Linked DNA regions of Coturnix japonica. The protein of the gene in region 1 binds, or shares a complex with, the protein of each later gene. Links are inferred from orthologs where the notes say so. Each region holds a gene or a part of one and is shown in the gene's direction. Other genes may lie near its edges.

Region 1 (4,493 bases):
AATACAATTCCTGTCACCCACCACAGTGGGTGGATTAACCAAGGTCTGCTTTTTGATACACAGCTGCCCTGCAAGATGTTTGTGCTGCAGTGGAGGGAAAGGGAATCCCTGAGCATTGAGCAGTTGGTTGCATAGAAGACTTACAAGCAGTACAAGTGTTCCTTGCCTGCCATAGCAACGTGCATGCAAGGGGTGAGATAGCCTGGATGGAACAGCCACCATCCAGGGTTGGAATACCAGCCTTGGGCCCTGCTGCAGCTGCAAGCAGCATGACCACAGTAATGGGGAAGGGTCAGGAGGCGTTAGGGACAGGCTGTGGTTCACTGGGTGGTGGGCTCAGCCCCAAGCTCCAGAGCTGAGGGAGCGCTAGGACGCTGCTCTCAGACTCGGGGTTTGGGTGGTGCCATGTGGAGTCAGGAGGCTGGTGGGCAGACTGACCTGTGCTCTCATACTTGGCGCAGGAGATGTCAATGGAGGGCTCCAGCTCAATGTGGGTAACAGCCTCCAGCCACGCTCGCAGGGTCCCGCTCAGCGCCCGCCTGGGGAGCAAAGCACAGGGTGAGGCAGGCCCAGGATGTGCTGCCCCGTGGACCCTGCTGCCTTACCTCAGTGCACTGACGTGGGGCTCCGGCCTGGCCCCCAGCTCCTCGGACTGCGGCAGCATGGGGAGAGATGGAGAAAAGCATTGAAGAAGGTGCTGAAGGAGACCTCACGGCTCTGCAACCCCTAAAAGGAGGTTGTGGTGAGGATGGGGTTGGCCTCTGCTCCCAGGGGACAGTGATAAGGTGAGAGCGATGGCCTCGTGTTCTGTCAGAGGGTCAGGGTGGCCATTGGGGAACATCTGCGCTCTGAAAGAGCAATGAGGCAACGGCACAGCTCAACGGGGAGGGGGGGGGTGTCAACCATCGCTGGGGTGTCCCAGAGTGGTGTTGCTGTGGCACTGCGGGCTGCAGGCAGTGCGCACTCTGTGCTCTATGTCGCTCAGTGCACTCTGTGCTCTATGTCGCTCAGTGCACTCTGTGCTCTATGTCGCTCAGTGCACTCTGTGCTCTATGTCGCTCAGTGCACTCTGTGCTCCCTGTCGCTCAGCCCCGCTCCCGTCCCGTCCCACCTGGTGCACTGTCAGCAGGTCGTTCCGTCTCTCCCTGTATCCCAGGCCCAGCAGCTCATCGCCCAGCGCCGCCGCGAATGCCGGGCTGGCCAAGAGGCCGCGCAACACGCCGTGCCGGAACGGGGCCCGCTCCACCGCTACGGCCTCTGCGGGGACAAAGCGGGCGGTCAGTTCGGCAGGCGGCAGTAGGATGAAAGCCGCTAGACCCCCCCTAGGGCCCATCCCGTACCGTGCCGGAGCGGCTCCCCGCCGTCCCAGGCCGCTGCCGCCCGCTCCCGTAGCTCCACATCACCGATGGCTGCACACAGCTCGGCCTCCACCTCCCGCCGCCCGCGCTTCTCCACACCGCGCCCGCCCGCCGCTCCGCGCCGCTTGGCCCCCATGCCGCCGCCGCACACCGAACTACCAATCCCAGCCGTCCCTGCGTGTGCCGAGCCAATCAGAGAGCGTGGGGGGCGGGGAGAGGGGTAGGGCGCCCTACGATTGGCCAGGAGGGACGACTCAGCGGCGGGCGCCGTCGGAAGTGGAAGGCGGGCGCTTCCGGCAGAGCGGGGCCGCTTGGCCCGCCGGGAGTTGTATGGCGGATCGACTTCCCGCCGCCTCCCGCCATGTCCGTGGTGCCGCCCAACCGCTCGCAGACCGGCTGGCCCCGCGGGGTGAACCAGTTCGGGAACAAGTACATCCAGCAGACTAAGCCGCTGACCTTGGAGAGGACCATCAACCTGTGAGGGCCGCGCTGGGGGCGGGAGGAACCGGCTGGAACCGCTCGGGGGTCGGAGCGGGAGGGGAGCGGTGCGTGATAGTGATAGTGACAGTGATAGTGATAGTGATAGTGATAGTGATAGTGATAGTGATAGCAATAGTGATAGTGATAGCAATAGTGAGAGTCCGGAACGGCGGGGAGAAAAGGGGCCTCACAGCGCTGCGGGAACAACCAGCCGGGGGGACACACACGGCCCCGCCATCAAAGGCTGCACAGGCACCATCCGCTGCTCGGCCACCATCGGGGATGGAGCAGCCCGAACTCTGGGCGGCCGCTGAGTAAAGAATGTTCCCTCTTTTAGTCTTAATTCACTTCATCTTATCGCTGCCTGTGTAAAAAATCACTCTCCCTATGGACCTGCTACAACAGCTCCGTACCCTTCCTATGCTGGGGGACACAAATTCTCCAGGTGGGGTCTCGTGAGGACAGAGCAAAGGGGACAGTCCCTTTTCTCTTCGTGTTGCCATCCCTCAGTTGATGCAGCCTTTCTCTTGCCTTTCCAGGCTGCAGCACACTGTCTCATGTCTCATTTTTCATCCATCAGAAGCCCCAAGACCTCTGCAGGGCTGCTCTTAGTGAAGGCTTAAAGGGACAAGAGAGGAGCTTCCTCTCCCTTTTCTCCAGGCTGCGGAGTCAAAGCAGGTGGCTGCAGAGTAGCTGTAGATGCTTCTGGTTGTGTTTGCCTGTTTCTGGGTTGGCACCATGACAACGTATCCCACCGGCATGACTTCCTGCCCTCATGAGCCATGGTGCAGCCCTTGGCATGGCATGGGGTGTGCAGTGCAGCATGCAACCCAGACCTTGTAGTCCTTTGCAATGAGTGAGTTTCTGCTCCCTCGAGTACAGAAGGCTCAGCTGCAGGGTGAACACTGCGTGCTAGAGGTGTCAATTTAGCTTTCTTATTATGTAGTAATACTTTTTTTCCCCTTTAGGTATCCTCTCACCAATTACACATTTGGCACAAAGGAGCCCCTTTATGAGAAGGACAGTTCAGTGGCTGCTCGGTTCCAGCGCATGAGAGAAGAGTTTGACAAGATTGGCATGAGGCGGACAGTGGAAGGAGTTCTGATAGTGCACGAGCACCGGCTGCCCCACGTGTTATTACTGCAGCTGGGGACGACGTTTTTCAAGCTGTAAGTGCCTGCTTCTTGAAAGCACCTTCTTAGTCCAACCAGAAAATTACAGACCTCTTGAAATGTACATATCGCAAAGTAAGATGTGGCCAACTCTGCTTGGTGTTTTTAATGAGATTCATTTGTTCCAAGCGCATGGTTTGTGAGAACTGTTTTTAAAATGATGAAATTTCCCTCTAAAATGTATTTATCTGACTCTACTCGTGGGTAGTGGAGAGTTGCCTTGGTTCTAAAGTCTCTGGAAATCTTTGTTGCACTCTGGTAGGTTCCTGTTGGAAGCCCTGCTGGTAGTCAGGGTTTGGTCTTACACTGTGCAAGCTGTTATGCTTAAATACACTTATGCTACGGCTGCAAAAATGGCAAACCCTGGGAAATGAGTAGTGGTTATGAATTTACAAACTGCTGGGTCAGCTGGGTATAAGAGGGACAGGAATCTCAATTTGTGAGGGAAGTGCTTCAATTATTCCAGTGTTATCACAACTGGAAGGAAGTTTTGGTCATATGATTATAGTGGTGGTCACGCTTGTTTTCTTATTTTAAAATGGTTCGACTTGGGACAGGTGATTCTCCTTGTATTCTTGGTTTTATGTTTTTAACATTTGCAGTGTTTGGTCTCAGGTGAGGAGTAAAATTATCTCTATATCCAGATTCTTTTTTGATATGGGGCATGTATGTAGATGAAATAGGCACATTGTTTGCCTTTGCAAACAACTATGACGAGAATGTATCTTCATTTTTCTCATTATCCTTGCATGAAATGCAGGATAATTCTCCACTTGAGTTTTATGCTTCCTGCACACGTCACTAAGTACTGCTTTTGAGATTAGAACAAGCACAGCTGGTGTTTACAACCCCTTCTTCAACTTCAGTGCTTTTCTATTATTGTTAAAACTTAACCTTCTAAGTGTCTCTATCATTATTATGTATATTGTTATACTTCATCCCACTGAAGTTATTATTGTTGGCCTGTTTTGCTTTGTTTTGTTTTTTAAGGGGCACGTAGCAGCCATTAGAGATGGTCTTGGTGAAATCTACCCTATTGTCTTCAGATTGGGCATGGTTAGATTTAGAACCTCAAATGCAAAAACCTTGAGTGAATTTGTAGCTGCAAGCATGGAAATGTGTCCAAACTTACCTGTGAAAGTCTGCTAACACTGTAAAACATAACTCTAGCTTTAATCATTGATTATTTTAACAGACCTGGTGGTGAACTCAATCCAGGAGAAGATGAGGTAGAAGGGCTCAAACGCTTAATGACAGAGGTCTGTTTTCTTTTGTTATGTCGCAATACTAGAATGTTGTGGAATGTTGAATGATGTTAGAGTTAGTAGAATAGCCAAAGAACTGCAGCAGTCTCCTCGTCACTTGTCATTTTAATGCTGTAAAATGTTCTCAGGTCACTAACAACAAAGTATTACAGTAAGCTCTCGCTTATCCTCATGAGAGTGTAACCCAGTGGTCTGTCTTCCCCCCGAGTCCTGTGTTC
Region 2 (4,518 bases), on another chromosome or scaffold:
AGGTACAACCGCTGCCAGCACGGCCCCCTGTATTCCAGGGATCCCACCGTCCCGGGCCATGGGGGGGTCCTGCAGCCCCCATAGAAATCTTTGAGGTTCCCACAGTGCTGCACCAAGGTGATGCCTGGTCCCAGGGCAGGGACCATAGCTTGGCATGGGGACAGACAGATGGACAGGGGAACAGGATGAACCACAGAGCCCGACTACGTGGAGGCAGCGGACACTGGTACCAGTAGCTCGCAGCCACAGCTTTATTTCTTGTGCCCTGAGGGCTGTCAGTTTGTGGACTCAAAGAGGTACTCCAGGTCTGGCTGCCGCAGCCTCTGCTCCTTCTTCTTGTTCTTAGCAAGCTCCTTCAGCATGGCCATCACCTCATTGTCAAACACAGCCGGCGTGGGCTTAGCTTCTGCAAATAAGAGGCAGAGTGAAGGAGAGCAGCTCAGCATTGCCCCAAGTCACCCACACATCCCATGGCCCAGTGCAGTGCACATGTACCTGTGGCCCAGTAGTAGATGTCCCAGTCGTTGCTGGGAACGTTGATGAGTTGGTCATAGAGGTTCAGCTGCCGCTCATCCATACGGCTCAGGTTCTCCTTGGCAAAAAGGCTGCAGGAGATCACATGGGGGTCAATGGGACAGAAAAGAAAGACAGAAAGGCTCCTTCCTGCCTCTGCCCCACCACAGTCTGCACAAAGCCCCACCTGAGCAGGATGCAGTTCTCAAGCATGCCCCTCTTCCTGCTCTCGTACAGCAGACGTGCTCTCTTGGTGTCCAGGGACTCATTGGGGCGCTCCTTCCATGGCGGCAGTGGCATCTCCAGCACATCCTTCCCCGGGTCACCCTGCGAGGCCCCGCTGTAGCCTCGTGGTGCACGCAGCATTGCCAGCACTGGGCGGCACAGGGTGAGGCGAGACAGCGAGCACAGCTGCCGAGGAGATGGGAATGGGATGAGGAGAGCTCCAGCAGAGCCCCACAACCCCCATGCCCCAAATCAAACCCCACCCCAGGCCCTGCTAAGACCCCATACATTGCCCCTTGTTCCCCCTCCAGGCTCCAATCCCTCCCACCCTGCACATGATTCCATCCCCTCATGCCCCCCTTAAGTCCACACACAACGCCAATACCCCCACCACTCATAGGACCAGCCAGGCCTCTCATTCCCCTTCAGTCCTCAGAAACCACAGCTCCACAGTCAGCCTCCAGGCCCTCCCATTCCCAATCTCCCCCATCCTACATACAGATCCCATTTCCACCCAGGGCCACAATTCCCCCACATTCCACCCGCCCAGACCCTGCTCCTGTCCATTTTCCCTCCAGGCCTCAACCTTCCTTCCCCTTCCCCTCCCCTTTCACCCTCCCCCTTCCCCTTCCCCTTCAGGCCCCATCCCCCTTTCCCCTCCCCTTTTAGGCCTCAATCCCCATCCCCTTTCCCCTCCCCCTCCGGNCCCCTTTCCCCTCCCCCTCCGGACCCCATTCTCTCCCTGTTCTCCCCCTCCAGGCCCCAATCCTCCCCCTATTCCTCACTAGGCCCCAATCCCCCTCCAGGCCCCAACTCCCTTCCAGCCCCAGTCCTCACACACAGCCCTAAAGCAAAAGCCCGCTCCCACCTTCCTCACTGCCCCCCACAACACCTCCCAACCCTCTCTATATCCCTCGCAACCCCGCAGCCCCTCCTCACCCTGCTGACCGCCATGATTCCTCCTAACGCACCACCAGCAGGGGGCGCGCTGCTCACCCAGCCCTCTCGTCTCTATGGCAGGCAGGGAGAGCCGGAAGGGGCGTGGCTAGAGGAGGAAGCCGGAAGGGGCGCGGCAAAGGCGGGAGGAAGAAGCCGGAAGGGGCGTGGCGTGGCGGCCCTGGAGGTGGCGGTGAGCGCAGTTGGCGCGCGCGCGCTCGCGGGAGCGTGGGGGGGGGGCCTAGAACGGGACGGGCCTTTTGGGGCGGGGGGTGTGGGACCCCCGTTCCGGGGCAGGCAGGGCCCTGACGGGGGGGTTGTGCGGGGGGTAGAAGGGCGCTGCGGTGACTCATCCCTCGGCGCAGAGCCCTGCCGTGCGCGCTTCGCCTGGGAACATGTCGGAGGGAGTGGACCTGATTGATATCTACGCTGACGAGGAGTTCAACCAGGTGTGGAGCTGGGGAGGGGGGGAGAATAGAAGTGGGGTCTGGGGGAGAGTGAATGGAGGGGGGAGAAGCAGCAGCTGTTCCAGAATAGGAAATAATAGAGCAGTTCTACGGCAGGTCCATGGAACGACAGAGCGAGAGCTGAAGGAAAAACGGCTGCTCAGGACAGGGGCAGAGCTGGGAGTGAGCACAGGCTGTGGAAGGCAATGTGGAAAACCATAAACCCAGACTGGGTTTTGGCACAGGAGCCAGTGGAGCCCAATGCCAAAAGTTATGGCTTGCTTTAGGAATGGTTGTCATTGAGAGAGCATCACTGTGAATATGGTTTCATACTGGGCTGCTGTGAACCCTTAGGGCTGCCTGCTGATGGAGAGCGGCATCTTCTGCATGGGCAGATGGAGCTGCTGCGGTCTCAGAGATCAGAGAGTGGCTTTCTGGAGGGCTTGGAGAAGGCATGGCTCAGCCTTTGCAGTGCTGAGATCTCTGGGTTTATCCTGCCAAAGGTTGAACTGCTGCAGAGAGCACAAGGAGGAAGTTGGTGGCCTTAAAGGGAGTGGAATTGCGCTGCTGTAGCCAGGTGATGGAACAGCCTGCGGACAGGGCAGGAGGGGTTTGGTACTTGCTGAAGGGAGCAGGATACTCAGCCATGAGCTGTTTGCTTTCTGCTTGTGCACCCATGAGAGTGGAGCATAGAACAAGCTGGGTCTTGCTCAGTTGCTGAGGTCACAGCCAGCAAACCAGCTGTGAAGAAAGAAGACGAGGCAGCAGAAGCCTCTGGGATGTGACACTCTGCGGGGCCAGAACAGAGCAGTCCGCATAGCCCCGTGTGCCCTGACAACCCAGAGAGCCCTTCCTGAGCCACAGCTTCAACCCCAGCTTCCCATTAACCATTTCTCCCCTTGCAGGACTCAGAATTCAGTAATGCTGACCAGATGGACCTGTATGACGACGTGCTGACTGCCAGCTCGCAGCCCCCCGAGAGCCGCACCAGCAGCTTGGAACCACCCCCTGAAATTCGCCAGGAGCCCCCCCCCAAAGCCAACAGCAAAGCCCCTGCCATCCTGTATACCTACAGTGGGCTGCGCAACAAGCGGGCAGCTGTCTATGTGGGCAGCTTCTCCTGGGTGAGTGCTTTGGGGGAACAAACAAGTGAGGGTTCTTTGGAGGTGTAGGGCTGCTTGGAGCAGTGGTTTTCCTTGCTCTGTGCTGAGCTGATATTCCAAGCTGAGCTTGGCCTAAGGGGAAAGGGACTTTTATAGCCCTGAGAGGCCGCAGAGCCGAGCCCTGAGCCAGTGGGATGGCTGCCTTTGGGCATGGGGTGCTGGGGAGGGCTGCGGGAACTGAACCCCATCCCAGCTTCTGCCTTGCTGCCCCACAGTGGACAACAGACCAGCAGCTGATCCAGACCATCCGCTCAGTGGGTGTCTATGACGTGGTGGAGCTGAAGTTTGCAGAGAATCGAGCCAATGGCCAGTCGAAAGGGTGAGAGCTGAGGGGGAAGGGAACGAGGAGGAATGGGGCAGCCAGGGCCCCCATAGCCACATCCTGGGAGCAGTGAGGGGGTACAGAGATGGTACAGGATGAAACACAGGCTGTCAGCAGCACAAGCACCTGGAACAGGAGGGGGGATTGATGGAGGCACGCAGCTCCATGCTGCTTGGTGTGGGTCCTTGAGCTGCCAGGGGGTGAAGGGCTGGGAGTCTGCTGACCACTGACCCTCCCTGCAGGTACGCGGAGGTGGTGGTGGCCTCTGAGAACTCGGTCCACAAGCTGCTGGAGCTCCTGCCTGGCAAAGTGCTCAATGGGGATAAGGTGGAGGTGAGGCTGGCCACCCGGCAGAACCTGTCCCAGTTCGAGGCTCAGGCTCGCAAACGTGAGTGGGGCGCAGGCACATGGCGGGCAGCTCCTTGGGCCCCACCACTGAGCTGTCAGGATGAGACCTTGGGGTGGGGGGGAAGACCACCAGCAGCTTCTGGGGTTATGTCCAATTGCCGCCGAGTCTGCTTAGATCCTGACCCGAGTCTTTATGATCCCCTTTTAGGTGCTCACTCACTGCGAAGATCCCTCGTAGCCTCCTCTTCCTCCTCTCCAAACTGAATGGGCTTAAGCTCTTCAGCCTACCAACATAGCTAAGACCCTCCATATCTATTAGTAGCTCTTCTCTGGATCTCCTCCAGAATTTGTCCATCCCTGCGGAGGTAAGGTGCCCATCACTGGACACAGTATTCCAGCTGGGGCCTGGCCGTGGGCTTTCTACAATGGCCATAGATGGTCCTAGCCTCACTCCGCAGCGATGTGACGCCCTGGCCCCGCACTGGGGGGCTCTGTGGAGCCCGCAGGGACGGACTTGGCAGGAGCACGGACGAGGAGGTCTTGGCCAGCTGTGTTCATTGTAGAC

Evidence for each region.
Region 2: the proteins of NUDT21 (region 1) and CPSF7 are in contact, whole or in part, in a crystal structure (PDB 3N9U), measured with the Homo sapiens proteins. The link is inferred for Coturnix japonica from reciprocal best matches to the Homo sapiens genes NUDT21 and CPSF7. Residues at the interface, in NP_008937.1 of Homo sapiens: Arg68, Asn152, Glu154, Pro156, Tyr158, Tyr160, Pro162, Ala163, His164, Ile165, Thr166, Lys167; in NP_001129512.1 of Homo sapiens: Trp91, Trp92, Thr93, Thr94, Asp95, Gln96, Glu112, Lys114, Phe115, Glu117, Asn118, Arg119, Ala120, Asn121, Gly122, Gln123, Ser124.

Annotation. Positions count from the first base shown.
Region 1 is NC_029526.1:523,145-527,637, reverse strand, and holds the start of NUDT21 (cleavage and polyadenylation specificity factor subunit 5), read left to right. Parts: upstream 1-1,647; 5' UTR 1,648-1,719; coding exon 1,720-1,835; intron 1,836-2,806; coding exon 2,807-3,007; intron 3,008-4,205; coding exon 4,206-4,269; intron 4,270-4,493. Other genes in the region: prolyl 3-hydroxylase OGFOD1, read right to left, coding at 439-539, 606-652, 1,112-1,257, 1,341-1,494. UniProt on the Homo sapiens protein: Component of the cleavage factor Im (CFIm) complex that functions as an activator of the pre-mRNA 3'-end cleavage and polyadenylation processing required for the maturation of pre-mRNA into functional mRNAs.
Region 2 is NC_029520.1:299,259-303,776, reverse strand, and holds the start of CPSF7 (cleavage and polyadenylation specificity factor subunit 7), read left to right. Parts: upstream 1-1,656; 5' UTR 1,657-1,677; coding exon of another isoform or gene 1,678-1,690; coding exon 1,691-1,867; intron 1,868-2,039; coding exon 2,040-2,123; intron 2,124-3,025; coding exon 3,026-3,244; intron 3,245-3,498; coding exon 3,499-3,602; intron 3,603-3,847; coding exon 3,848-3,993; intron 3,994-4,518. Other genes in the region: LRRC10B (leucine-rich repeat-containing protein 10B), read right to left, coding at 1-82; SDHAF2 (succinate dehydrogenase assembly factor 2, mitochondrial), read right to left, coding at 276-406, 496-605, 701-924, 1,678-1,692.